Struthio camelus: one gene and its partners. The protein of the gene in region 2 interacts with the protein of the main gene of each other region in a pairwise test. Links are inferred from orthologs where the notes say so. Each region holds a gene or a part of one and is shown on either strand. Other genes may lie near its edges. The genes, in order: TOP3B, SSX2IP and MORN4.

Evidence for each region.
Region 1: the proteins of SSX2IP (region 2) and TOP3B interact in binary tests that used the Homo sapiens proteins (3 or more experiments, as listed by UniProt). The two-hybrid records come from large-scale screens. The link is inferred for Struthio camelus from reciprocal best matches to the Homo sapiens genes SSX2IP and TOP3B.
Region 3: the proteins of SSX2IP (region 2) and MORN4 interact in binary tests that used the Homo sapiens proteins (3 or more experiments, as listed by UniProt). The two-hybrid records come from large-scale screens. The link is inferred for Struthio camelus from reciprocal best matches to the Homo sapiens genes SSX2IP and MORN4.

The regions. Positions count from the first base shown.
Region 1 is NC_090958.1:10,358,822-10,362,565, reverse strand, and holds the start of TOP3B (DNA topoisomerase 3-beta-1), read right to left. Parts: upstream 2,367-3,744; 5' UTR 2,273-2,366; intron 1,856-2,272; 5' UTR 1,745-1,855; coding exon 1,675-1,744; intron 937-1,674; coding exon 805-936; intron 1-804. UniProt on the Homo sapiens protein: Releases the supercoiling and torsional tension of DNA introduced during the DNA replication and transcription by transiently cleaving and rejoining one strand of the DNA duplex.
Region 2 is NC_090949.1:21,546,803-21,550,546, reverse strand, and holds the start of SSX2IP (afadin- and alpha-actinin-binding protein), read right to left. Parts: upstream 2,250-3,744; 5' UTR 2,087-2,249; intron 2,025-2,086; exon of another isoform or gene 1,962-2,024; intron 1,720-1,961; 5' UTR 1,578-1,719; intron 1-1,577. UniProt on the Homo sapiens protein: Belongs to an adhesion system, which plays a role in the organization of homotypic, interneuronal and heterotypic cell-cell adherens junctions (AJs).
Region 3 is NC_090948.1:17,027,564-17,031,307, forward strand, and holds the start of MORN4 (MORN repeat-containing protein 4), read right to left. Parts: upstream 2,655-3,744; 5' UTR 2,516-2,654; intron 2,331-2,515; coding exon of another isoform or gene 1,917-2,330; exon of another isoform or gene 1,880-1,916; intron 823-1,879; exon of another isoform or gene 749-822; intron 1-748. Other genes in the region: PI4K2A (phosphatidylinositol 4-kinase type 2-alpha), read left to right, coding at 1,917-2,330. UniProt on the Homo sapiens protein: Plays a role in promoting axonal degeneration following neuronal injury by toxic insult or trauma.

The DNA of each region.
Region 1 (3,744 bases), on a different chromosome or scaffold from region 2:
TTTCAGAAATGATAACACGAGCTGTTAAAATATCTTCTGTTAGTACAACCAACTGACATGGCCAAAGGAAGGAGCTTTTTCCTTGTTTTCACCATGCACATAAAATGTACACGTTATAGTCTGTTCTACTGTTCATTACATATGGCCAGTTATGTCTCAGCCCTGCAAATAAATGTCTATCATGGAGCATCCTGTGTCATCTTGTAGTATCGGTGCATTTGTTCATTTCTGTATCTCTGAACTAACTGTTAGTAATATTACTTAGCAACTACATGACACCGTACCTCTCTAACGTACTGTGTAAACAACTCAAGAATTAGTCCTCATCAAACTTGTGAGGTAGTTAGCATGAGAGGAAATAGTCACATGGCTAGTCCAATATTTCAAAGCAAGTTAGTGACCAGAACCCTTGCACATGACCCTTACCATATCTCCACTTTACCAAAATACACTACGATGTATTAGACAGTCTCCCTTTAGACTCTGCATTCCTTAATTATCTTTCCTTCAAGAACACCAAAACATTTTTACAGGCTGGCACACTGAGCTTCATATCCCCTTATTTTCTGGTAACATCACTGAGGCACAGAAAAGATAAGCGTTCTGCCTAAGGTGATACAAGAAGTCAGCTACAGAACTAGAAAGAAAAATCAGAACTGCTGACCATTAGTGACCCTTTCATCCCCATTTCCGCTCTAATGCTAACTCTCTGAGTCATTTTCACAATCAGCATTTTCCCACTAGAAGTCCCAAGACAGTTTTGCAAGCCATATCAGTTAAAAAAGGTTATGAACAGACACACACCTATGAAATCCAAAGTCATCACGTGACCACACACAGATGTCATCTTGAAATGGGCGCTCTGTCCTACAAATGATCCAGCGTACTCATGCACAGAACACGCACCATTCAGTCCTTTGCGAGAGGACATGTTTCCTGTGAGAAGAACATAAATATCAACAGGCTAAAAAAAACTATTCAAAGAAAGAGGCATTACCTCTTCTGAAATCAGCTACCTCCCCCCTTTTTTCTAGATCTCACAGGTACGGTCTTCCTGATCACAGGCTTCCACTCTTCAACCAAGTTCTTCTCCAGCCAGTTATCACTTTGGGCCTTTCTTAGCATATTTCATTTCCAGTTGAAATTATCCAGGATCTCCTCTGTGTTTTTCTTCCCACCAGGAAATTCTTATGAAAAGACTTCTTCTTTTCTGGATCAGTACAACTATACTCATTCTGTTTTCCATGACTTATAAGATATTTCAAAAATCTCAGAACAACAACTTGCTACTTAACCGGCGCTTTCCAGAAACCGTACGCACTAATGCACACTGCCGCTACACTAAATAAAAGCAGGCTCATTTACCCTGGGATTGAACAGGTGTTAGCAGACAAAAAAAAAAACAAAACAAAACCAAACAAAACGTGGAATGCCATCCAGGTACTTTATGGACTGGAACCCGTCCTACCACAGTGCTCTCAGTGACAGCTGCTCCAAAGACAAGAAAGCAGCTGTCCAGGGGGTTTCCCACCTCATTTCACCACGGGGAAGCCTTTGCATCATGTCCCTACTCAACCTACACGCATTTCCTCAGTAAAGCCTGGGAGTCCTAGAGGACTTAGACCGGCCGGACGACAAGCAGTAGGGCCGAAACCAACACGCTCTCGTCCCTACCCCGCGAGAGGATCTTGGCGATGGACTGAGCCAGGGAAGGTTTCTCTGCAACCATCAGCACGGTCTTCATTTTCAGCCGAGGAGACGCGCCACAGAGCTCGACGGTGCGATCTGGGTTTGCTGGAGGCCGCAGCGCTCAGCTCAGGGACGAAAACCTGCTCTCACGGGGTTAATTCTCACTCTAGGGAGAGAAAGCACAGAACAGCGTGTACTACAAAACCACCTCTAGGGGAAAAAACCCTAGGAGCGCTGCCAAAACTCGGCGCAAGGGCAGATTTCGCAGCTCCTAACGGCCCCGCAGGGGGCAGGGGCCGCCCCGGGGCGACCGGCGGCGCCACCGCCCTGAGCAGCGGCCGGGGCCCGCGCGCCTCAAGGGGCCCCGCGGGGCAGCCGCCCCCGGGCCGCGCCGGCCCCGCTCCGCTTCCCGCCGCCGGGCGCGGCCGCCCCTCAGGGGCCGCGGGTTCGAGTCCCCCGCGGGGAGGCGGCGGCGGGAAGCGGCCCGGCCTCACCGAGGTGAAGTGCGGGGCGGCGACTCCGCCCCCCCCTCCCCCCCGCTCCGTCCCGGCCGCCGCCGCTCCCGTCCCCGCCGCGCCACAACCTCAGCGGGCGGCCATCGCCTCCGCTTGCACTGCCGGGTCACGGAGCCGGAAGGCGCGGAGGGGGAGGTGGCCGGCGCCGCCCCGGGGGGAAGCGGGAAAGGGCGGGCGCGGCGCTCCCCGCCCCCTCGGCGGGAACCGCGCGGCTCCCCCCGCCCCTTCCCCGGCGCCCCCTGGCGGCGCGAGGGGCGGGCTGGGTGGAAATGGGGGGTGTATGGGGTGTGAGGGGGTTACGAGGGGTGTGTGTAGGGGTAAATGGGGTGTGTATGGGGCTTTGGCGTGTGCGTGAGGGGGTACATGGGGTGTGGGGGCGGTGGGAGTGAGAAGGAGCGCGGAGGGCAGGGAGGAGCGTGTGTGAAGGGGTGGGGGGGTGTGAGGAGGGTGCGTGGGTGAGGGATGTGAAGGGGCTGTGGGGGTGTGTGAGGGGGGTTGAAGGGGGGTGTGTGTGAGAGGGTGCGAGGAGGGTGTGAAGGGGGTGGGACGGGAGGGCGCCTGTGAGGGGGTTGTGGGGGAGGGCTGCGGGCTTTGCCATAAATCGGCCCCGGTGCTGGCGGGGTCTCGGCGTCGCCGCGTTTGCGTTCGTGCCGCTGGCTTCGCCGGCGCCGGAGGGCCAGGCCTCACCTCCTTCAGGTCTCGCTGCGGTGGCAACCTGCCTCTTCCAGCAGCAGGAGGCTGCTGTGGCCACCACCTGGCCTGGCCGAAACGTCCCCGTCCCCAGCACGACGGTCCGCGTCGACGTTTCCTCTCCAAGTCCGGTCAGAATGGCCTCGGGCAAGCTACGTGGCTTTACCTGCGTCTCCCTGACCGAATGCGAGCAGCCCTGCCAGCCACCCCGGCCGTGCTGGTTAATAACTCTTAATGCGCCTCATCAGGAGCTAGAGCGCCAGGAGTAGTCGCAGCCTCGTCCTTCGTTGTCGTGCTTTTTGCACGGCATAAAAAACGCTTTACATGCTGCTGCAAAATGAGCGCGAGACAAAGTGTGGGATCTCCGTGAGGGAAATAGAGAGCTACAAAGGCTCTGCTCCTTGCTGTTGGCCTCACCTGAAAAACTGTAAATAATCAAACCTGGTTTGATAAATCAAATCCAGTCTATTTATGGGTGCCTTGCAACCACCTTTGCCACAGCAGCCCGTGCCTCTATCCTTGTTGTAAGCCCCTTGCAGGGGAATTGAATACAGCAGAGAAGATAGCTAGTATTTTGTCTCTCAAAACATTAATTTCAGTCATAATGAACGAAAATTACTGACTTCAAAAGGAGAGCGCCATACAGGAGAGCTCCTGGGCACCTCCGCCTCTGCCCAGGAGAGGGCAGGTATACACACGTGCGCGCACCTCCCATCCTTGATCCTCGTCCTGTCTTCTTGCACAAGTAAACTAGATTCCACTAACAGATTTAACAGGAATGTTTCTAAATGCTTTGGTGATCCTCACAATAAGCATGCGAATGCAATTCCCAATAGGAATAGGAAATGGA
Region 2 (3,744 bases):
CAGAAATAAGGGAGTCCCAGAGAGAAGAAATTAGAGTCTCAAAGAGACTGTGTGCTGGCACCTCTGCTCTCAACAAACTTAAAAAGGTGATGAGCAGTGAAGTGAGAAAGCTCACTTATGATACAGAGTTATTCAGAAAAATAAATACTAAGACTGAATGAAAAGAACTGCAGAAGGCTGTCCCCATCCTATGCAAACAGATGATAAAAATTGGCAGCTGAAATTCAGTGTTCATAAACACAAACTAATACATAATGAAAATACTGAAGTCAGCCATGTACTTAAAATAACAGGCTCTACATTAGGAATTATCACACAGGATGAGATCTCAGGGTCACTACGACTACTCCTCTGAAAGTAAAACTCACAGGCAGTCAACAGTACAGTGGAGCAGAGGACAGAAAAGAGAACACCATTATGTCACTCTATAAACATAAAGCTTCCCCAGTGTAAATAGCATATGCAGTTTTACATTTCCCTCTATAAAAGGAAGAGCAGAACTGAAAATGGTGCAAAGGTGGTAAAGCAATCCTCCCATGCAATGAGTTAATAAGCTGTGACTTTTCAGCTAGGAGAAGAAACAAATGGAGAAACAGCACAAAGGTACGAAAAACATGTACAGAGAGTAAGTATTTATTGCTTCTCTTAACACAACTATTCTGAATTAAATTAAACAATCAAGGTAAAATTTGGAAAATAAATGAGAGCATTATTCCCCTACAGAAAACATAAATTGTGGACTCACATCACCAAGAGATGTCGTGGATGCTAAAAACGTAACCTGGCTCCAAAAACAAAGAGACAAATTCGTGGAAAAATATTCATCAATAGCTATCAAGTTTAAAAGAGAGAGCGAGAGAGAGAGACAGAGCAAGAACAAACCTATGCTCAAAAATCCCTCAGCAGCAGACTGCAGTAAACTGGGAGGATACACTCATAAAATCACCACTGTACAACGAGCCTCTAATTTTATGCTCTTTCTCTTAGCATCTGCTGCCGGCCACTTTCAAGACAAGGTATTGAACCCAATTCTGGTATTGTCCTCTCTACAGTCCAAATGACAGCCAACTTTAATACTATGGGGTTTTTTTCCCCCAAAGCAGAAAATCACGCCTTTTCCCCCCAGCTACTTATCATCTGAAATTGCCATCAATGACATAAACTTACTTCTCTGTGCCTTTTTTCTAAACTTGCCATTAAAATTTACTTGATATGTTTAGATTTTATTTCACAATGCCTCTTTAAATTGTTCCCCTGAAATTCCTATCATACCATCATAGCATATGTGTGCCACATAACTACTATTTCATGACAGCACAGTAAACAGTGAAGTGCTCTATATAAATAGGCAATGCAGCAATACTATAAAGTGATCTTATATTACCACTTGATCTTCAAACTGAACTGGGTTTTGCTGCAGGGGGGAGAATCTTTATTTTTAAACCAAAATAAGGCCAAGGTAATGCAGCCAGAATCTCTTTTATGGATCCTCTCTTATTATATCACACCAAACTACCAGCTAAATCCAAACGCTGTCAGAAATTCACTGACTCAGTAGAAAGCTTTACGGCTCTCACCTCTTCGAGTGTTTGCTGCCTGCAGGCGCATAGAGATCAACAAAATGCTGGGCCTCGGGGAGGGAGGGCAGGGGGGTCAGGCGGCAAACTGCAGACGGACTAGCTAATCTAGCCCTCCCCGTCCCTGCGGATTAGCCCGAGCCTGACAAGAAGGGGCACATGTCAAGATCCACAACATCACAGCGCGGCGCAGCCCCTCCCCCCCGGCGCGCCGCGGGGGACGGAGCGTCCCGTGGGGAGCCCAGGCCGTGGCGACGCCGTTTCCCTCGGCAGCCCGGGGGGGGGGGGGGCACAGCCCCGCGCCGCACTCCGGCACCGGCCCCGGCCTCGGCCTGCCGGGGGCCCGCGCCCTCTCCTCCCCCCACCCCCCCGCGCGCGCCTCACCAACGTCCGCGGAGCGCCCGTTACTGCCGCGCCTCACAGGCAGGAGCGCCCTCCCCCCCCCCCCCCCCCCGCGGGCTCTCCGCAGGACCCTCCTGCCTCGCCGATGAGGAGTGCTACGCACTCACCCCGCGTAGCACCACCTGCTGCGGCCGCGGCGAGGAGGGAAGGAACGGGGGAGGTAGCCGGCCCCCGAGCGAGCGAGCGAGCGCCGCTCCACGCTCCACACCTAGCGCCGCTCCGGCCCCTCGCCGGGCCCCGCAGGGTTAACCCCCCCACCCCCGCCTCAGCGCCACTCCCATTGGCCGAGCAGTTGCTAGGAGACCTTCAACAAGAGCCTGCACCGCCCTGGCGGGCTGGGGCCGGGGCTGAGGCCGCGCCGACACCTGCTCCGCCCCCCCCCCCCCCCCAAACCGCGTTCGGCCCCACCCCGACCTCGACCGCAGCCGCGGGGCGGCGGGGCAGAGCCACGGCGGGAGGGCGCGGGGGGCCCCGCGTCGCCTGGGCCGCTCTCGGCACCTGTTGGCAGGCGCGTGGGTGCGAGGCGGAGACCGAGGGCGGAGGAGCGGGGGCGAGGGAGGGGAAAGGGCCGTTAGCCGGGCTGAGGGGAGCGCCGCGCGCGCCGAGCGTTGCCTGCTCGCCGCGCGTTGGGCCCGCGCTGCGGTCTCCTTTTCCCCCAGGAACGGTCACCAGTTTTGAAAAATCTATCCTAAGAGTTAACCCTTGTCCTCGACTGTAACAATATGGTGCTGCTTTTCTTTCCCACGTACTAGTCAGACTACTGAAGACTATTTGAGCAGCTGGACACAAAAACATAGGAAGCCTTTCGCTGTATCGTGCTGCTACTCCGCTAGTCTAAACTCAGGTTTCTGCAATAATACACTCCTGAAGAAGTTAGAAAACTTCATAGTTGATCCTGCCCATTGCTGGGCGCTGCCTGAAGCCACGGCATTCCCGACTCGAGCCATCGGCTCCCACCAGGAATTCCTGGCACTCGCCAAGAGCAAGGCGCGTCCAGGCCGGCGGGCCCGAGGTCGCGCCTGCGCCTCTGCCCTGCCTGCCGCGAGGGCGTCGAGCACCACCACAGCACGCGGCTCCTCCCTGCCCGCCGAGCAGCAGTGGCGATAACCCAGCATACCTCACCCAGTGTGTGGGAATTTTGGTAAAATTACCCAATAGAACTCGGTAAAATTAATTGAATAGTCATGCTATGTAAGATGCGATTACCCTCTTTACCTGCGTTTGCAAGACGACAGCCTTTACTGACTCAGTGACTTCCTCACTGATTTTTCCAGATACCTACCCCGTTCCTAACCAAGCACATTAAATCCTGCGAATCATGCATAGGTATGCCTGTAAGATTTAATTCTCGATTTTGTGTGTTGGTATAAGCTTGCTGATGTCTCATTTCACCTCACATCCCTTTGTTTTTACATTTTTGTACAGGAAGGTGTAATCAGTTTCTATTTTGCCCTGTATAACGTGACATTTTCACCCTCATTTCTTTCCAGGTTAATTAACAATAACTTTTTAAAATTACGACCTTAATTCTATTTTTATGACCTTAATTATGTTTTTGTTTTTAAAGATCAGGAGAACAGAACAGGTTCAAGTGAATAAAATAATATTTTTAATACAGCAAACGGTTTAATTTCTAGTGACTCCTGAGTCTCCAAAGAATAGCTCCATTCTCTGTAAACTTACCTTTATTGGTTCAATATTCTCTCTACATTTAGCTGTTATATCGGAGAACTCAGTGCAAATAATCACAAATATCTAAAAAAAA
Region 3 (3,744 bases), on a different chromosome or scaffold from region 2:
ACCCCACGTGGGCCATGCACCCAGGGGTGATGCATGCACACCCCACGTGGGCCATGCACCCAGGGGTGATGCATGCACACCCCATGTGGGCCATGAACCCAGGGGTGATGCGTGCAAACCCCACGCGGGCCACGCACCCAGGGGTGATGCATGCACACCCCACGCAGGCCATGCACGCAGGGGTGATGCGTGCATACCCCAGGCGGACCATGCACCCAGGGGTGATGCTATGCTTGCAGACCCCAGGCAGGCAATGCACCCGGGGTGATGCATGCACACCCCACGCGGGCCATGCACCTAGGGGTGATGCGTGCACACCCCACGCGGGCTATGCACCCGGGGTGATGCATGCACACCCCACGTGGGCTATGCACCCGGGGTGTTGCTTGCAGATTCCAGGCAGGCAATGCATCCAGGGTGATGCATGCACACCCCACGCGGACCACGCACCCGGGATGATGCATGCACACCCCACGCAGGCCATGCACCCAGGGGTGATGCTTGCACACCCCAGGCGGGCTATGCACCCAGGGGTGATGCGTGCACACCCCACGCGGGCCATGCACCTACATCTAGGGGTGATGCATGCACACCTCACGCGGGCCATGCACGCAGGAGTGATGCGTGCACACCCCAGGCGGGCCGTGCCCCGGGGGCGATGCACGGATGCCCGGTGCCCACCACCACGGGCGGGGCGGGCACGCCGGGGCGGGCCGGGCGGCGCACGGCACCCGCCGCCAGCGCTCACCTGGCTCCGCGCTCGCCGCCCGCACCGCTCCCCACCGGGGTCCCGCCGAGGGGCGGTGGCACGGCCACCTCCCTGCCAGCCCCCCGCCCCGTCGGGCGGCGCAGCGCCGCCAGCATCCATCCCCGCAAGCCGTTGGCTGTATCCATGGCAACTGTTAGCAACGCGGCTCCTCATTGGCCAGCTTTCTAACGCCCCCTCTCCTCCGCCGCCATTTTTGTGAGGGGCAAGATCATCTCCTCCCCGGCGGTGCCACCGCTGAGGGGCGCCGCCCCCAACCCAAGACACCGCCATCTTTGTGAAGGGCAGCGGGGGGCGCCCCTTCAACTCCTGAGCGGCCATCTTTGTGTGGGGCAGGGGGCCGCCAAGGCAGTCTGTGTCGGCTCTCTTTTCTAAAGTGCTTTTCCCCTTCGCACCTGGATGAGAGGTGGTGGAAAAGCAGCAAATCACACATCCTCGGGGAGGCCGGTAGGAAGGACACAAGGCAGGCAAGCGCTGCAGTCAGCAGGTGAGCTCGCCCCCAGAAGAGCGTCCAATGCCGTGAGGCGTGCGGCCCCGGTGTCCGGCACAGCTGGGCAAGGGAGGATGGATCAAAGCTACCAGCAGCGCGGGAGAGAAGCTGTGCTGGGGGCGTGCGAGCTGCAGGGCCCTTGGCGTTACAAGCTGTTGAACGCACAAGGCCCGTCTTTGGTGCGAGGCCAGAAAAGCCTGCAGAAAGCACCAACATCTGACCTAGTACATACTGAAACAGAGATAAGCACTAGAGGAGATCGGCGGCCAGCAAGAGCCTGGTCTGAGCCTTGGCCCTCTGGCTCTGGGCCTCTGCCTCTGCAGAACTAGCTCCACCCGCCTCCTGGTACCCCTGGTCCTGTCGGAGCGAGCAAGGGAGCTCTAACAGGCCAGGCCTCCCCGCAAGCGCGCTGCGGCCCAGCGCTCCCCTAGGCACCCGCGTCTCCTGCGTGGGACGGGGCGGCGGCGGCAGCGGGGGCAGCCGCCATGGCGGGCCGGCGTCCCCATGGCAACGGCCGCGGCCCGCAGGGCAGGGGGCCGGGCCAATGGGGAGCGGGCGGGGCGGGACGCCGGGCGGGCGGGCCAATGGGGCGCGGCGGCGGTGACGCGGCGGAAGTGGCGGTCAGCTGACGGCGCGCGCCGCGCGGGCCCGGCGGGAGCCATGGACGAGACGAGCCCGCTGGTGTCGCCGGAGCGGGCGCAGGCCCCGGACTACGGGCTTCCCGGCGGCGCCGTGCGCGCCCCGCTGCCGCCGCCGCCACCCCCGCCCCCGCCCTCGCCGCCCGGCTCCCCCGGCGGCCGCGACCGCGAGCGGCAGCCGCTGCTGGAGCGCGGCGCGCGCGGCCCCGGCGCGGCGGCGGCGGCGCAGGCCCAGGCCCAGGCTCAGGCCCAGGCGGCGGCGGCGGCGGCGGCGGCGGCGGCGGCGGCTGCTCAGCGGGAGCGGAACGACTTCCCCGAGGACCCCGAGTTCGCCGAGGTGGTGCGGCGGGCTGAGCTGGCCAGCGAGCGCGGCATCTACCCCGAGCGCATCTCGCAGGGCTCCAGCGGCAGCTACTTCGTCAAGGACCCGCAGGGGGTGAGCCCGGCACCGGCGGGGCCCCGGGCCCTTCCCCGCGCCCCCGGGAGAGGCCCCCCGGGGCTGGCTGCCTGCCTGCCCTGCCGCCGGTGCAGCCTGGCAGAGGCCTCTGGTGAGGGTGCTGTGCCGGCCTGGCGGAGGGCCCGCCTCGGGCAGGGCTTGGCCGGTGCAAGGGCTGTGCTCACCCTCAGGCCGGGTCAGCTCGTGACATCGATCTGGGCTTCTGTGGATTGATAGGAGCAGCGTGGGGCTGTCCTGCCAGGAGCCCCGGGCGGCTTCCCTCGGTTGGGAACGCCGCAAGGCGTCGCACACGGAGAGCAGTGGAGCCGCAGGAAGGCTGCCCCCTCTTCCGCAGCCCGCTTCTTCCTGCCGATCAGCATCTGCTTACTGTGGTGACCTCAGCCTTAGGGCTGAGGCTTTGATGGCTGCACCATTCTCTGGTCTGTGAGACTGGAGTAAGAGTTCCCCTCTGTGGGCGTGTGGGAGATTGACTCAACACAAAGTCCTCAGCAGAGCTGACTCTCTTTAGATCTGCTTGGCAGCCATCTCCACACCACTGGCTAGTTGCGTGTGCAGCACAGCATGGCTTGCCTTGTGACCTGCAGCGCCCAACTCAAATACTCGAGCTGCTGCTGCTTCCTGTGACTCCCTTGCCAAGTGCCTGCTGGGGTGCTTCCCAGGAAGCAGGACTGGGCTCATGTGTCTTTGCTATGCTCTGGCTTTTCTGCCCTGGGTGGAGGCAGGGAGCTCTCACAGGCAGGTCTCAGCTGCGCTGTCTGTGGGGCAATACAGAGAGTGTGCAACTTCCTTTTGTGCCAGCCTTCTGTTGCCCAACAGGAGACATGGTGTTGTTGCTGGTGTGGGCAGCTGGACAAGCTGCCCTGAGGTTGTAGGGCAGTGGTTGCCTGGCTGTAGGGAGAGGATGCCAGGCCTCAGTGAGGACTGATGGAGGAAGTGTGCAAGGAGCCAAAGTCTGTGTGCTCCTGGCTGTATCCCAGGCCGGTCTCCCTGGCCTATCCTGCTGTGAATAAGGTGCATGTGTTGTTCCTGGGCTGTCCAGGGTCACTGAAACCTGCCTGCTGATGGTGTGGGAGGGAGTGCAGTGCTGTGATGGACAGGCTGGGGCAAGGGAAAGATTGAGGACATTGAGGAAAACCTTCTGAGATGGGGTCAGGTGCTTGCTTCCCTCTGGGAGGCTGAGGACCTGAGCTCTCCCAGCTAGGACCTTACATGATGTGCTTCCTTGCAGTCCTGGCAGTTGAGGTTACCCCAGCTGCTGGCTGGGCCTCCAGGCTGGCTTGGCTCCCCCTTCCCTGCTGCTGGTGCTGATCCATTTTCACTGCTCCACGGTGCTCTGAGCAAGCTACTTCCCAATCTGCCCCCAGCGCAGGTCTGAAAGGGAACACTGCTGCCA